2 linked regions of the Oryzias latipes genome follow. The protein of the gene in region 2 interacts with the protein of the main gene of each other region in a pairwise test. Links are inferred from orthologs where the notes say so. Each region holds a gene or a part of one and is shown on either strand. Other genes may lie near its edges.

What was found. The genes of interacting proteins can lie anywhere in the genome.
Region 1: the proteins of ptpn9 (region 2) and reticulon-3 interact in binary tests that used the Homo sapiens proteins (3 or more experiments, as listed by UniProt). The two-hybrid records come from large-scale screens. The link is inferred for Oryzias latipes from reciprocal best matches to the Homo sapiens genes PTPN9 and RTN3.

The regions. Positions count from the first base shown.
Region 1 is NC_019876.2:28,990,963-28,994,462, reverse strand, and holds part of reticulon-3, read right to left. Parts: intron 1,177-3,500; coding exon 969-1,176; intron 132-968; coding exon 1-131. UniProt on the Homo sapiens protein: May be involved in membrane trafficking in the early secretory pathway. Inhibits BACE1 activity and amyloid precursor protein processing. May induce caspase-8 cascade and apoptosis.
Region 2 is NC_019864.2:10,371,308-10,375,525, reverse strand, and holds the start of ptpn9 (tyrosine-protein phosphatase non-receptor type 9), read right to left. Parts: upstream 2,801-4,218; 5' UTR 2,671-2,800; intron 2,598-2,670; exon of another isoform or gene 2,523-2,597; 5' UTR 2,315-2,522; coding exon 2,282-2,314; intron 1,950-2,281; exon of another isoform or gene 1,855-1,949; intron 1-1,854. UniProt on the Homo sapiens protein: Protein-tyrosine phosphatase that could participate in the transfer of hydrophobic ligands or in functions of the Golgi apparatus.

The sequences.
Region 1 (3,500 bases), on a different chromosome or scaffold from region 2:
AGTCGACGAGATCCTCCACCAGGAAGAGACGGCTCATCTGCTTCAGGCCTCGGTTGATGTAGGTCAAACTGGCGTCCACGTGCTTGCGGAATGTCTCTGGGGGGATGCTGACATCCTTATTTATCAGCATCCTGCAGAGATGGAATGAGGGGAGAACACAAAATGAGGAAGAGGAGCCTGGAGTTGACTGGAGGTCCGACAGCTGTCAAGAACAACCAGAAAGCATTTTCTCTGTCTCAAATAAAATGTCTTTTCCATTGATCTGAGGGATAAACCTGGTTGCTCCTTATTACGCATCTTTTATACAATTCTTTGACCATCAGAGAAGACCTGAATGTGTCCACAATGTGAGTCAGACTTCTTTGACTCTAAATGATATCATTGTGTCATGAACCGGCAGCATCACTCCAGAGTAAAACAGACATGAGAAAAGAAACACGGAGACGTTCAGAGTCATGCTTTGGGAGAACAACTTTATCTACTTCTGATCAATATGAACACATTTCATTGATAAAAACCCACAGCATACGCCGTATTCCAACACATTTCTCTGCTTTAAAGTCTACACACATGATTATTCCAGATGCTAAAAATCGTCGTTCTGTTAGAACGTCACATATCTGTCATACAAACCTTTTTTTGAAAGCTACCACTCCTGTTTAAAGGGCCTATGTCATGCAAGATCAACTTTTTTTAAGCTGTGTGTGTCATAATGTGCATTATAAGTATATCATGATGTTCATTCCTCTCAAAGAACAACCCCAAAGTGGTATTTTTGATCCATTCATGTTTTTCTGAGTATTCCTCTAAAAACCTGCTCTCCCAATCCACCAAAACGAGTGGGGCCCTACACTGTGACATCACAAAGTGAGGAACCGCCCCTTCCAGGAAGAGCCAGTACCACCCCCAGGCTAACAGACACGCCCACTTCTTCCCAGACTTGAAACGGTTAACGACTTTGGTCTTACTTGAAGGGGTGTCCATCGTTCGACTTTTGCACGGCCTGAAGAACGGACTTGTAGATGCGGAAGGAGATGGTGACAATGAGCAGAGCGAGCAGCAGGTAAGACGCCACGCTGATGACACTGAACGCTGCCAACGACAGCAGCATCAGCAAGGACAGTCCGAACACCACGCCCGACTTCTTGGGGTCTCGCCAGTGGATCAGGTCTTTTACTGCAGAGAAGAACAAGCAGAAGGTTATACTGATGCCGCTTTCCGGAACCTCCTAAAATCCAGTACAAACGCTAAAGAAACACTAAAAGGAGTTTTGACTAGAAGTAAAATCACAAAACAAAAAACAGCACGACTTTGATATACTGCAGCTTTTCTTTTAACTGTCATAAATGAAAGAAATGAATTTAAAGATATAGCTAAACTACAAAAAAAAAAGTTTCCAAAGTCTATTCTGACAACAAAAGCTCACAAAAACGATGCAGTAGATGGGATTTTCTTTGTCGCTCAGGCCCCGACTCAAAAACCTCAACACAAAGCAATCATGTTTGAAAACACTGCTACTCCTAATATAGCTGGAAATGGAAACCATTCAAACCATGAAGTGGCAAGAATCCCCGAAAATGTACGTATAAAAGCTTCAAGCAGTTTGTAAAAATATGCAGAGGAAGGGGCACTTCAAATATTTTAGAGCACCATTTTTACCACTTTAGGTATTGCACAGCATTGTGCTTATTGTAGTTTTCCATTCAATAATCAATGGGCCTTGCTCTCTCTGGTTTCTGCTGAGGTCCCAGTAAAAAGTGGCCTGGTTTCACCATGTGCTGCTTCTAAAGCTTCACACCAACAGCAGCACTGCACTGAGAGGAAAAAGCTGTGGAAGGAAAGGGCGGAAGGTACCGTTAGCAGTCATCCACCACAATGAGGCGACGCCTCCATTTTCCAATTTCTGAGAAAAAGAGAGCTCTTCAAAGGTCCTGGGTCGTCTTTCGACGAGAGCTACCAGGAAACATTTGATGTCGACTGTGTCAATGTTCAAAAGGAGCTCGACAGTCAACAATAAAGGTCACCTAAAGGTTACTGAGGGACGGCTGTTTTCACAAAACACTAAAACATCCCAACAATAGCTGCGTTTCCATCACACAAATGCGCAAAGTTATTTAAATTCTAGAAATGTTGAAGAAACAATTTTTCAATTACAATTTTAAGTTAAATCCTAATTATGTGAATAAACAAACCAACTGACGCCATAAGTCATTTAGAAACACGGCGACGGATGTGAACTATACTTTGATCGACAGCAGATACATTCCGATTTTTGCCACGGCACTAGCGCTCATCATCACCCATCAAAGGAGACGTTGGCGTCTTCTTCAGGCCGTGGAGCGGCGAGTTCCTTCACGTGGGAAATGGTTGGTGATTTTCTAGAGGAGCTGTGGATCCAACAATTCCACATGACACGCTCAACTTCTGATGAGCTGTATGACCTCTGGTGGCGCCCCCTATGCAGGGCTCAAGGTCGCCACTTCCTAACAAGAAGCGCATCGCCATTGACTGACATGTTTCAAAACAGTAAAAACGCCACAGGTCAGAAATTTAGGTTTCATCTTGTGAGGAAATACTTTATGGAATGTAATTCCATTTTAATACATTATTTTTGTTGGAAGAAGGCTAAAGTGGACCCTAGTCTTTCTGACGTTTTACTTCATGTTGGACATTTATCAAAGTCAAACATATTACTTTTAAACGAGCTCCGTAATCCAGAGATTTTGCAGATTTCTTTGCACTTTAGTAAAGGTCTTCCTTCTTTAATAGTCTATGTCCTTATAAAATCGTTTCTAGTGTGTTTTCCTGCAACTGAAATGTGAAGTTTGTGTATTTTTATGAGAATTGCTAATTCCTTAAAGGTTTTGCAGATGAATAATCCAGTGGTTTTGAAATTAAGTTCGTCCAATGAATACACCCCCCCAGCATGTCTCTACTCCCCCCACCCAGTAAGCTGGGAAAAACTGCATCGGGGCAGAAACCTGACACGGGGCTGGTGGGGGGTGGTGGGCTGTGGCTCACAGGGCTTCAGGGCTCCTTAAGCCGACTCTAGGCCACCACATTTAGACAGGACTCTACTCCAGTTTAGGGGCTATGATGAGTTTATATGGGAGTGTGCCCCCCCCAGATGAAACTCGTCTGTGACTAATCCACAGCCACAGTCCAGCCTACTGTGGTACACTTCGCGCTACTCCAACAGAATTTAGTTTAGAAACTACAGATGTGTTTATGATGCACATCCAGCTTGAAGTTAACATCTTTGTATCCAACTGTTGCTTTACATTTAGCGCTACATATATGCTATGCTATGCTATGAGAGCCCGCTCACAGCAGTTGTAACTTCATCCACCCAAAGTAATCTTTCACAAACAGCCATTTGCTGGTGATCTAATGTTTGAAAGCAGTTTCTGATATCTAGACGTTATTAGACTATCAGAGTCAATAGTTAGAAAAAAAGTACCTTCTTCATTTAACCATCTTAATGCGGGTTTACAGTGAGT
Region 2 (4,218 bases):
ATACTTTTGCATCTCCTTCAAACCCAGGAACAGACAGTTGGGGGTCGAGTAATACCGATAACAAAGATGGCATGCAAACTATGAGGCTGAGATTATTAGTTATTACACCACAAATGTAAATATTATTTTTTACCCAATATGACAATAAAAACAAGATGCGTTTGATTCCATCTACAGTTGACCCTCAGCTCTTCTGCGCTGTTGCTTGTATGTTACAAAGGCATGAATACAAGTCATTGATGTGCACAAAGCATTTAACCTTTTTATAATTAACCCCATCTATTCTTTCCAGTTTGTGAGTCATCTGTATGTTTAGTTTTTGCCCTAAACTAAGAAATATATCACCCTGAAAACCGCCTACACTTTAGCCACCCACGCCCTTAATGCTCTGCTCAACCCACCCCTTTCTATTCGAGCTGCAGTTGAGCATGCATGCACACCCAACTAGTTACAACATATAAAAAGCATACATTTCGCCTGATGATGTGGGTTCTTTTCAAAGCTGTTGAAACATATGTGTGTGCGTTTTAATCACTAGCTCTTCCACGCCACGTCGGTCTCAAATTACATCCAGTGGCCTGGGTGAGGTAGAGCCGACTACACCTTGATCCTGCAGACTAAGCTACTCTTGCTCTTTATCACTGAAGCTCCCTTCAACAGCGCCTCTGCGGATCAATTTGATTACAGATGCCATGCTGATCCATTTACAAATGTGGGACAGCTGCTGCCAAATGGCTGCACCCAGTCCCATTTGGCACGAGTCAAACAGGAAGTCAAACGCGTTCACTGTCTCCCTATTGCCCACTTTCTCCAACTCTACCACTTCCTAGGAGTAGACACAACACACACACTTTCTGAGCACATGATAGACACACACTCGGTTCCCCTTCCCCCACGTCTAGTGGAAATACTTTTAACAGCTGCATTCAGAATGAAGTTCCACTACAACAGTACGGTCACAGGGGAGCCAGGCTGCTACACACACAATCCAACCAAGCACCACCACTACCCCCGCTTCCCTCCCTCCCCAGGCTGTGGATGTAATAAGGGCGTCCGGTTCTGAAGCAGGGGCCCTCGGCTCACACAGGAAATGGAATAGGCAGATAAGGCACTTTCTGCTGGCCAGATGATGAAGAGTCAGCAGGAAGAGTAGGCACAGAGAAGACACTGCAGACATGTCAGAGTACACCTGAAGAAAACAAATGGCCTTCAACTCTATGAACTCTTCCCACAGCTGCTGACAGGCGTTCACAGGAGCCATTTTAATCAATTAAACTATTCTAGCAATAATGCAACAATTTTAAAAAAATAAATATGGATCTTTACACCAGGAACCTGTCAAATTTATCTGGAAGCATAAACTCGCTGAGGATTACAGACAAAAACTAGCTTTTGGCCAATTCTGACTTTTCTAACCATAATCGGGCATAGTTTTGAAGTTGCACTGTCCAATTTCAATAAATGTATTATTAGCTATGAGAGAGCCAACAGTATCAGGCAAGAAAATGGTTTGGAAAGCTCATAAACTGGTTTGAAACGTGTCGACTCATTAATTTCCCATAATTCCCTTTCATTTGGAATGAAAACAACGACCAAATTACCAGTTAAATTTAATTGTTTCTCGGCTTTTGCTTATTCTAATAAGTTATTGAGAACGTTTTCATGTTCACTAAAACGAAAACGTGCAATTTTTAAATATTTTTTCAAAAATCGACGGTTTTCTCATCGACTCAAACAGAGAAAAGTTGACAGAACTGGTCTTTTAGTTCATAAATAACTGCTCTGTAACCCGTTTGATGACATTAAATAATACTTTTTAGCATAGTATAGAATAGATTTGGGTGAAAAAGTTACCGAATTTAATGCGTCACAGCGCTTTAACCACCATAACTCTACAGGCTTTCTTCAAGTTTCAAGTGTAAACATTTGAGTGACCCAATCGCGAAGATGTGAGTCCGCGGTAACCCTTCCTCTATAATGATTTCCGGTCATGTCACGCTCTGTAACTCAGATGAAACTGTCCTCATCCGCGGCGCTGGCTCCACACCTCGTTCCAGACGCTGGACAGGAACCGTCAGTGATGCAACTCAAGCGATAATGCACCAAAAATCGATACAATATTTCCGCTTCGTTCTCGGGACTTTTTTTTCCCCTCCCAGCAACAAAACCACTATTGCGCACCACGTATATCGCGGCTCGGACGCAAAGTCGGCACGGAGAAAAAAAATAAAAAATACATCCCTCCAGGTTAATCTCCCACGAAAACATTGCGGAGGCCTACCTGTTCCTCCTCCGCCGATAAAGTAGCTGCCATGATTCCCGTCAGCTCTCCGATGACCTTTTTCTACAGCCTCGTCCTCCTTCTCATAAAGTGGGAGATGTCTGTGCGCGCGTGCTCCTCGTGTCACAGTCGAGGCTTAGGGCTCCTTCACAGCCGACGACATCTGAGTGGAACCTCTTCCCCCTCCGAAAATGTGTTGCTGCTATCCACGCAGGCCAATTAGCATGAATCAGCATCCAAACTAGAGATGAGAGCCGCTGATGTGTCAGATTTCACCCGAAGAGGAGGAGGGAAAAAAACAACAAAGAACACAGGGCTGAAAGCTGGGGGTTTGCTTCAACTCGGGGGATAATAACTGGCTTTGAACCGATGAAACACGTCTCACCCACCTAGCCTGACAGAGATCAGAGGGCTGCAGCCACCCGCTGGCTGCTCCATACCACGAATCGCAAGGTTTCGCCTCTGAACGTCGCCTTTATGCTGCGCGAGAGGCTTTCTACTCCTCTCTTTCCGCATGTTGCTGTACCCCCTGGCGGTTCCGAACGGAACTTTACAAGTGACCCTGCCTCCATTCATAAAAATGGAAAAAGACGGAACAAAAAGAACTGTTGGTGGCTGGCAGCTACAAACACAAACAAATATCTGAACACATTTGAAATAAGTATAAAAACCATTCATTTTAGGTTTGTTAACAGACAGAAACTAAACATGATTACCCTCAACCTGTAAAGGGCCTCCATCATGCTTTTCCTAAACCTTTCAGAGAGTCCCTGTGGACGCCGCCCAGTCGGACAAACTGTGGCCTGTCTGTCAGGTAGTCAGTGATCCAGGAGACGGTGGACGCACCGGCACCCATCAGCAGCAGCTTCTCACCCAGTAAAGAAGGCTGGGTGGTGTTAAAGGCACTGGAGAAATCAAAGAAGGTGATTCTCACCATGCCTCCACCACCATCCAGTTGTGAGTGAGTGAGCTGCAGCAGATGGATGACAGCATCATCCACCCCCAGACGGGGTCGGTAGGCAAACTGCAGGAGGGTCCAGAGAAGAGCTCACCAACGGTCTCACCTGAGCCAAAACCAGTCTCTCCAGCACCTTCATCACATGAGACGTGAGGGCAACTGGACGGACATCACTGGGGTGAGATGGAGATGACTTCTTGGGTACAGGGACCAGGCAGGAGGTGTTCCAGAGGAGCGGCTCCCTCTCCAGTCTGAGGCTCAGGTTGAAGAGATGCTGGAGAACCGCAGACAGATGGTGGGCACAGGTCCTCAGTGTTCGAGAGCTGATGCCATTCGGGCCGGCTGCTTTGTGCTGGTTAAGTTTCTCCAGCTGCTTCTTCACCTGGCAGGCTGTTACAGAGAAACAGGGAGGGAGGGGGGTGGTGTGATGAACTGTGGGCCCAATAGGTTTGGTGTAGCAGAGGGGGGTGAAAGGTGAGGAGGTGTGGGGGGGTTCATGAGGGTGAGAGGTGATATGAGAGAGGGAGCAGGAGCAGGGGGGAGGTGTGGTGGAGGCAGGGGGGGGGGGGGGGGCTGAGGCATTCAGAGAGCTAAACCTAATGAAAAAGGTGAGCGTTTATGAGTGTTTAGCGACGATTATTTATGAGTCCACTGTCATCTGAAGATAAAAATGTTGATGGTTCATTTAAAAAAGAAATTAAAATGAATTTTTTTGCAAAAATTGTTCCAACGCAATGCATTGTGGTCTACATTTTCCAATCTAGTAAGCATCGACGCACACTGGTTTTTTGAAGAGACTTCTGGGAAATTTCTAGGGCACTGGATTTAGGAATTGTAGATTTGGACGGCACTACAAAACGGCAAACGGTGTTTGCCAAACACGCCATATAGTCCACTATGTAGTGAGTAGTGAAGGAATTCACTGGACAGAGCGGTTGTGATGTCACCCGTAGACAATGGTTTACATCCGGCTCCAGCA